Linked DNA regions of Caenorhabditis elegans. The protein of the gene in region 1 interacts with the protein of each later gene in a pairwise test. Each region holds a gene or a part of one and is shown in the gene's direction. Other genes may lie near its edges.

Evidence for each region. Proteins that work in one complex are often made in the same cells at the same time.
Region 2: the proteins of cbp-1 (region 1) and unc-3 interact in a two-hybrid assay, tested with the Caenorhabditis elegans proteins (one study listed by BioGRID).

What each region holds. Positions count from the first base shown.
Region 1 is NC_003281.10:9,764,633-9,769,534, forward strand, and holds the start of cbp-1 (Protein cbp-1), read left to right. Parts: upstream 1-1,877; 5' UTR 1,878-2,065; coding exon 2,066-2,105; intron 2,106-2,158; coding exon 2,159-2,235; intron 2,236-2,287; coding exon 2,288-3,076; intron 3,077-3,370; coding exon 3,371-3,736; intron 3,737-3,788; coding exon 3,789-3,915; intron 3,916-4,047; coding exon 4,048-4,197; intron 4,198-4,248; coding exon 4,249-4,761; intron 4,762-4,811; coding exon 4,812-4,902. UniProt on the Caenorhabditis elegans protein: Acetyltransferase enzyme. Acetylates histones, giving a specific tag for transcriptional activation. May prevent DNA damage-induced apoptosis by inhibiting cep-1-dependent transcription activation of the programmed cell death activator egl-1.
Region 2 is NC_003284.9:14,771,934-14,776,594, forward strand, and holds the start of unc-3 (Transcription factor unc-3), read left to right. Parts: upstream 1-1,604; 5' UTR 1,605-1,657; coding exon 1,658-1,743; intron 1,744-4,661. UniProt on the Caenorhabditis elegans protein: Transcription factor. Involved in motor neuron fate determination and maintenance, acting as an activator of gene expression in a subset of motor neurons. May act in concert with GFI1 homolog pag-3 in motor neuron fate determination.

The sequences.
Region 1 (4,902 bases):
ATTCGTATTCATTCACATATAATATACTCAACACGTCTAGCTATTCCCACACTTTATGTTTAAGAACAGTTCAATCATGCGCATTATCGTAAGAATCATGAATTACTGTATATTCGGATCCTTAATTGCACCTTCGATACCGAAAGATAAGGAAACGAGAGCGTAGAGAAACGGACGGAACGCCCAGCGCTGAGCAGTAGAGGGGCGCATAGAGTGTGAAACGGAGGCCCCGCCCCATCTCGGCCACACTATTACAATCTTGAGGACAGCAGCACGGCGTCGTCGTCCGGAATCTCAGTCTTCATCGTCGTCAACTTCAGAAGTCTATTGGGATGACTGAGAACTACTGCCAGTCTACCACCCTCCGCCACCCTGTCGCTCCGCCTCTCTTGGTGATATCGACAGTCGGACGAGGAGGGCTATTGCCCCGCCTCTCGCACTTTTTGAACTGCCGCTCTTCCGTCCTCCTCAGTTTTTTTGCTTCTCCGGTGGTATTTGATAATTTCCTTTTAGAACATTACACTTTCGATTATTCTCTATCTATTCAAGCCACTGCCGGCTCATGAGAGTTCAATGCGAGCTCACAAACTGAACCATTAAGTGCTCAATCGTGGTTATCGATTTTTCAGAGCTTCAAGTCTGGCTCTTACTCTGGCATTACACGAAGTGATAATATACAGTATTCAACTACTAAATACTATTGCTCTACGATTTTCTATGTATTTTGCTCCTAGTAGCTCAAATTCATTATTAAATTTAACTTTTATCTTTGCAACCTCATCATTCATCTATCTGTTTCGCTCTCGTTCTCTCATCTTTCAAACTTTGTTAATAATGTTATTTTCTTCAATATCACACCAAAAATTATAATCAAAACTTTCATCTCGATCCATTAGATGCTTGTAAACGGAGCCTGTCCAAATGGCATATTCCTTCGTGTGCGTGCGTGTCGCGTGCGGTTAATGTTCTACCGTATCTCGCGAAACGCGGTTTTCGTTGCGAGACACCCACAGCATGGGGCACCCGCTGTCGGCGTTCTCTCCCGATACACACTACTTCGTGGGTGGCTGACTCGTGCTGTCTGTCGTCTCTCCCACTGACCATGTTATTTTGACGAACGGTGTTCTGCGCTTCTTCACGATCATGAACTTTTGAACGTGTCACGTGGAAAATGTTTTGCAACTTTTTAAGTCAAAATACAGTTCAGAATCGGGTCAGTAGTACCATGTGAATCGACGGGATCATCTGAGAAAGAGAAGTTAGCCTCATAAGGTTGGCTTAGCAAATATCGATCGAGCTAGATATACCTGTAAGTATCTAGAGCATTCATGTTTTTAATGGTCCCAAACACCTTTAATGCTTAAAAATACCCGAATTTCACAATATAGATGCCCGCCTTCTTCATTATGCATAGTATTTTTTAAAAATATCTCTCAAGACTGCATAACAACTTTTTTTTGTTAATCCGTATATTACTATAGTGTTTCTAATTAAAATTTGTTTTCGAAGTTTTGCAAAATTGGCTATGAATCCAATTTTAAGCTCTAAATTTATGATAGCTACAGTAACCCATTCATTGGAATTTGATGTTATTAATTCAATTTTAGCATTTAAACGCTCCTTCTCTATTATTACACGCTTAAACAACTTATACAATGGTGCAGGTAAACTTTAAAAAGTGCAACCATCCTCCGTTCATTCTATTGATTTTCCATCTCCTTCTCTCTCACTGTCTGTCTCTCTTCAATTCGCCTCCTCTTTTCATAAGTGCTCTCGCTCTCTAACCACCCTCCACTCATTACTTCACCGATGTTCTTCTCACTCTTCCTCCTCCCTCCTCCGTTCACCGACAAAAATCCATATATCCATTTCATTTTTTTCAGAAACAAACAGCTATATCTGGTGATTTTGCCAAACTAACCCAAATAAGCGGGAACTCTGATGAAGTAGTGGTTGACGTGGGAATTCAAAAACCGACGGACGCAACCAATTCAGGTGTTCCGAGAAGTAGAAAGAGTTCACTTGGTTCGAATTTTGTCAAATATATACATTTTTCTACTAATTGATGGATGAACCACCATCAAAAAAATCTCGCGCTGATAGCGGTAAGTTGCTAGGAAAGTTAAGATGCTACGGTATGATCCTTTAAACTTTTCAGACTATGATTCTGGGTTAGATGCGCTAAGTGCTCTCGAAAGTCTCGAAGCATTCCCAACTTCTAGTAAAGATACAGATGTAAGTTTTTTTGTTTGAATTAACACTCTGTTTTATAAAAATTGTTGTTCAGGTAGACAATAATCCAAGCACATCAGCTGGAGGATCCGGTGGTCCTTCTGGCTCGACACCTCATCCACAAGGCACTCCACAACCAGCACCATCAAACAATGGCGGGTTCAATCTACAACCAGGACAGTCGCAACCTCAGCAGCCGCCACAGAATATGGGAGGAGGTGTCAATGGATCAGTGCTTCAAGAACTTCTAATGAATCCATCACAAACGTCGAACAATTCACCTCGGCCGCAGGCATATCCGCCTGGACAGCAAAATGCATTTAATAGGAGTCCAATGATGCCAAATGGTACACCGAATATGATGTCACCTCCATCTATGGGTCGAGTGCCGGGGCCCAGTCCTGGAGGTCCACAACCACCAGGCCCAGGCCAACCACAAATGCGACCAGGCCAACCAGGAATGTTCCAAGGAGATCAGCAACAGCAAATGATGATGGGTGCACAAGGACAACAATTCCCAGGAATGATGCATCGATATCCGTACGCACAAGGTGGTCCTCCACCAGGAGCCCAGGGAATGCCTCAAGGATATCCAGGAGTTAGTCGGGGCGGACCAACTCCTGGACAACCCATGGGACGTGGTGCTATGATGAATGGAGCAATGCCAAGAAGTGGACCAATGCCGACACAAGGAAGACCTGGAATACCTCCAAACCAACAAGCAATGATGCAGCCAATGATGACTGATCGGCAGTTTATGCAACACGGACAATATGGTCAGCAGCGACCAGAATTTATGCAACAATATGGTCGTCCCGGTGGATATCCAATGATGCATCAAGGGGTAAGTAGAAACTATTTCCTGATTTCTATTTCATTTTGGTTTGATCTTTAAAAAATGCGGGAATTTTTTTTGTTTTTAACCTAGAAAATTGGTAAGATCAGCATGATCTTAACTGTGCGATTCTGACAATTTTTGAAGATCAAACAAAAATGGAACACTTATTAGCTTGACGTGAATTTGGCCAAATCAAAATCGATGTGTAATTGAAACTTAAGTTTCCAATAATTCCCTAATCTTCCACAAATATTGGTTGGAAGTTGCTTGGAATCATAACAATAATCTTCTACATTTCAGATGATGATGGACAGTAATGGTCAACCGATTCGAGGCCCGAATCAAATGATGATGATGAGCAATGGGCATCCAGGAATGTCACACGGTCCTCCAAATGGTCAACCTGGACCACAAGCTGCTGCAGCACAACACGCTGCTCAACAGCAAGCTGCTGCACAAGCTCAAGCTCAGGCGGCTGCACAACAACAACAGCAGCAACAACGAGAGCAAGAAGCTGCGGCGGCAGCTCAACGAAATGGTGCTGGAAGGGCGACAACTCCTGGATCAAGCATGCTTGCAACGCATCAAGATCCCGAGAAGCGGAAGCTTATTCAGCAACAACTTGTTCTATTACTTCATGCACACAAATGTTCTCAACGTGAGAAGGTATGTTATACAGTATGTTCTGGTTTCCTTCATACATCATCAGCTTTTACAGGAAAATCGTGATTTCGCTGCGAAGAATCAACCACCTCCACATGCTGCCTGTACATTACCCCATTGCTCAACGATGAAAGAAGTATTGACACACATGACAAGCTGCAATGTTGGTCGTTTATGTCATTGTAAGTATATTACCCGTCGTGTCGCTTCTTTTTCTCTATCTGGAAAGAGTTTCGAACATTTTCGCAAGAAGAAGCGCCTATTCCCACCCAAAATTTCGCTTCACTCTAGCCACTGTTTGAAATCTCTTTCAGCCGATACCACACAAACTACAAAAAAATGTTCAGTCGCTCATTGTGCATCGTCTCGCCAAATAATAGCTCACTGGAAAAACTGCTCAAGGGAAGATTGTCCTGTCTGCAAACCACTCAAAAGGATACAAGATACTCCATTACAATTTTCATGTACGTTCTATCCTACTCAAGAACATTTTTTAAATATTTGATTATTTTCAGTGCCCGATCTTGCAAATCTAATAGGAGTCAACGGGAATTCGAACGGAAGCGCAGAAGGTGATGGACTTCATCAGTTTGGATCGCCAGCGATGCGAACTGGAAATATTACAAATTCTCTATTCGAAGGATTCAATGGCAATCCATTCCAAAACGGACCAAATCGTGGAGGACCGAGACCACCTGGTGGAAATGGAGAAATTCCAAACTTGCCACCACCAGATATGCCAGATTGTACGAAAGAATGGCATCATCAAGTCACAAAAGATCTCAGAAATCACCTTGTCGGAAAATTGGTTAAAGCGATTTTCCCGGAACCGAATCAGGAAGCGATGAATGATAATCGGTTAAAAGATTTGATAGCCTATGCCAGAAAAGTCGAAAAAGAGATGTTTGAATCTGCAAATGACAGAGAAGAGTATTATCATTTGTTGGCTGAGAAAATTTACAAGATACAAAAAGAGCTTCAAGAGAAAAAGAATTCAAGACTCAATCAAGGAGCTGCTGCACATGATCGTAAGTTTTTTTTTTTTAAAATTTCACCCTTTAACCAATTTTCATTTCAGAATACGCAATTCCACCGTCGAACGAGCTCGCTCAGATGCTTGGTGTGGAAGGTGGACGTAGTGATGTTCATTCTGAAGGAAGTAGTATGGC
Region 2 (4,661 bases), on another chromosome or scaffold:
AGTCGTAAAATTTTGTTTCGTGAGCGTTGATATGTAAAGTGAGTTGACATTGTGAAATAAGTGCTGGATGGTACAAGACGTTCCGATGTCGAAAAATAGAAGGACGAGAAAAAAAAAACAACGCTGTCGTAAACCTGCTCTTTAAGTTTAGTCTGCCGATTGAAGCTGTGTATTAAAATATTTCTGTCAAGCATTTTTAAAAGGGAAGAATTAATTTCCCCACCATTATCAGAAAAAATTTCAAATGAATGCAACAAATCTAAAGCTATGTTATTGTATTTAATATTTGTATTACAAACTGCAAATACTGGAAAACTGTACAAACACGTGGTGTCAGAGTGTCTTATTTCGGTTTGATCTGCGTAGATCTACAAAAAATGCGGGAGAAGAGACGCAGAGTTCTCAACTGATTTCTCATGGTTAAAAATGTGCTGACGTCACATTTTTTTTTGGGAGAAAAATTCCCGCATTTTTTGTAGATCAAACCGTGATGGGACAGCCTGGCACCACGTGCATAAACAATATTCTTTATACAAACGGGGTGGTTCATAATTATGGGGTCCAGTTTACAACAGTGCAACTTTTTTTTGAAGTTGGAACAACACAACTGAATACCTACTTTAATTGCAGAAAAACCTTATGCATTCAAGTGGCTACAAGACCTCGCGTTCCGAAACTACAAATAAAATAAAACCCAATATAACACAACTTATATAATAATATTTCAGCTTCAATTCAACACCATGATAAATATTTTTGATAATTCCAGCATCCCTGAAAACGAACTTTGCGCACTCACTCACACCTGGAAACATCTTAGCAACTACGGTAGATCTGAAACATCGTTGCTTTAGTGAAAAGAAAAATACCGACTTGAGAACAATATTCTGTGTATATAAATGTTTTATCAAAGCAATTGTGATAACTTCGCCAAGTTGATAACTATGAGCAATATTACACTTCACTTGCACGACTTCAAATGCTGGCTCCTGGCTTGTTCCTAAAAGAAGATGGTCACAAATAGCCAAACACTCTACATTCTTGATTCCAGATACCGTAATCTGCAATAGGACACACGAATCTCCATCAATTTTCTTCGCTATCCTCTCATCCTCTCCCATCTCTTTATTTTTTTGTGCTTCTTCCGTTTTTTTTGTGTTGCCTTCTTCAGTGTTGTCTGTCTGACCTCTCACGTCTCAATTGTTGAAGATTGTGAAGAAGTATGCACAAAAGAGGACCAAGGCGTGGTATGCTATGCTTTCTAGGATGATTGATGAAATCCTTCACTTGACTTTTCTGTGTGTCATACAACTATTTTCTGTAATATTTTTGGTGAGCCACCACACCAGGCTTGAACGTGAAAGGGGTGCGAACAATCTTCCCCCAGCTGCCCCCCCATTTTTTTGCTGTAGAGATTTTCAAAGTTTCGCGCCGTGCCTTCCGGCTAATCAGGCATATCTCCATAACCATAATTCACAGTCAGCTGGCTCAATCCTCACACTCGCTCCGTTATTCCTCTCCTTGTTGCATCTATCAGGCGTACTTGGACGGGAGGCCGTCGGACCCAAACCGCTTGTGACATATAAGAGATTAATCTTTTGCAGAGTCGGTTGTGTAGCTGGTGTTGTTGCCTCCCACTTGATCCGAAAACTGTGGCATGAGTTTGACAGCTCCGCTAAGAGCTGGCCAGATGAACTTCTATGATGAACCTTATAATCCTGTATTAAATCTTCACATTCAACCGTAAGTTGTTTTACATGGCTTTTTAGGCTGCCTTGAAAAACTTGATGCTGGAAAATTGAGCAGAATCTTAATAAATAAATAAAGAGAATCTGGTATGGGAGCTGTACTGATCTGAGGCTCCGGAATACTGGAAGTTGTTAAAATAAAATTTATTTATTTTTGGGTTTGATACCGTTCAGACGTAACTCCTTAATTAAATTTGTCTTAGTAAAAGTCGAAGAGGTTCTACTAGAAGTTAATTCAAATTTATTACGTTTGGTACACAATTTCAAAAACAAGTCCATAATTATGGACCACCCTGTAGGATTAGGTGTTTGTGTATTATATGCCATCATATCTAGGTTATTCATTAATAACCATTACAAAGAAATTTGTTCAATTTTTGAGCTTAGGTTAATATTATTTCCAAGCATACTTCATACTAAACATATCATTCAATGGGTTAAATAATCTGGAAATTATAATATACAACTACATAGATATACAACTATTTCTTAACTAGGAATGAGCCCCCTAAATCACAAAAATACACCTTGTAAGCATCTTTTCTAAACCTGTCTATTTTCTAAAAACATTTTGATACCATATTCCTGAATACCAAAATGTGTATCTTTAAGGTGATTCATACCTCATTATTATGTTTGAAAGCCTCCTCATTCTCAATGCACTATTGGCTAAAGTTTTAGTCATTCTAACGAATCTATGACAATAGCTGTATACTAGCTATCACAAGCTAAATATCTCTTCGCTCATAATATTTTCCGTCTATCCTCAAACTCAACAGTTGTATATTCTCTTTTGACTTTGCTTCAATTAGCCGTACTCGGGCTCGTTGCCTAACAACCCACCCTCGGAATTGATAGCCACTATCATCCTTCTTTTTTGTCCATAACAGCCACTCTTATTAGTATTGCTTGGTGAGCGTTAATATTATTATCTGATGAATACTCAAACCTTGGAATCCTTGCTTTTCAGCAATTCTGGTGTCTTTGCGGACCTTCAAAGGTAAGATAGAACTTCTAGGACGACACTTTTGAAATAGAAGAGACCCAACTCCTTTTTTTTTGATGACGTTAGCGGGATTTCATTCCCAAAGGGGAAATTGTAAGGTGTTCATGGCTTGCGATACATTCTTGAGCTTTATTGGCGATGAGTTTAGTAAGTCTAGAATTATGTTTGAAACACTTAAATTAACAATTAACTTAGTAAGTATAACGTCATTTCTATAGCGTCATACGTTGTTATGATTCAGGTGCTGATGTTGAAGATGAACTTTTAGAAATAATTCAAAAAGTACATCATCTTGTTGTTCCCAAACGTTTTTGTAATCCATATTTCTTTCATTTTTCTGCTTGGATTTGAGCATTTTGTTTTTACATAAATTTCTCAATTCCTTCCGAATCTAGAATCCCGTACATGGTGAATGATGAGATTTGGGCTATTGAGATGTTACAAATTGCGTAGATGGCTACAAACTGATAACTGGAAACAAGTGGACAGAGAGAGGCCATCTCCGTTTCGCGCGTTTCGGTTATATATCTCTTATTGCTAGTCCAGAAATATTTGCATATTTCGAAAACGGGGCAGAGCACTCACAAACCCACACACAAACACACATACCAGTTATACGAGTTCGCAGCTGTCTTGTCGGATTTCAAACCATTTACATATATGACAGAGTGAAGTGAGGAGCCCACGAGCACACCACATATCACCATGTTTGGGAAAGATAGTAGAATGCTTCACTTTTTGTGTTGAGTTTTTTTTTTCTGAAATGGGTGAAGGCGTAGGAGCAAAGGAGCAAAGACAAGGAATCGTCTTCTGAACATTTATACAACAAATATTACAATTTCCAATAATCAATTATTAAACATAACATGAAGTCTGTTTCATTTCATTAAAGAGATAATTGCATTTTATGTTAGCTACTCGAAAAGTAGATTTTATTAATTGTTATGTTCGTAAAAATGTTCGTTCAAAACATTTATCAAAAACTCAGAAAATAACATTACTGTCTAGATCACGAAATCTAAAGGGAATTGAAATATAAAAATTTTTCATAATAGCAGCTATACAATAACAAAATAGCATTATCCCAAAAAATATTTTTAAGGGTTTTTTTTAGGAATTTCAGATAACCCATTTTCGTTTTAAATTAAATTAAAAAATTAAACCCATTTTCGTAATGAGATTTTTTGTACACTTTTTGAAAATGTTTCATGGCGGATCTGAACTTTGAAAACAATATTTCGTTTGCATATCGAATTATAATTTTTAGGCCTAAAAATAAAAATAGTACAGGGTTGGTCATTATCAAATTTTACACAAGTATCAAAATATGGTTAAGATGTTTTTTCTAAAATAAATTACAGTTTTATTACGGAACGAAAATACATTCAATAAGCATATATATATATATATATATATATATATATATATATATATATATATATATATTTGATTTTTGGGAACCTCTTAGCCAAGATTACGTAACAGAACAAAATATTTACTATGTTCATAAAACATGAAAAATATATAATTTTCATCTGCTTAAAAAAAAAAGTCGGTAGCGTTTTAAATGAGATCGCAATGGGAGAAGCACGAGAAATAATTATCTTTCGAGCCCAACTTCACCGAGTTGAAAAATTGAAGCACCCCCTAGTTCATCACATGTTTTTGGCTGGGTTTTCTCCCCGCCAAACCAAAACTTTGTCTATGCTTTTATCTGTGCTTCATCGTTACTCCAACATCAGTAAAGCCGGAGCCGCAGTCAAATCGGCCCGTCGCCAGATTCCTTTTTAGCTACTCTCCCCTCAATGTTTTTCCTACTGTGTGCCCACCCATTGGCCCCTAGTGCGCAGTAGGCGGAGCTTGCGAAGCTCTGCCGAGCACGCTTGTGGATCTGTGTCTAATGAGGC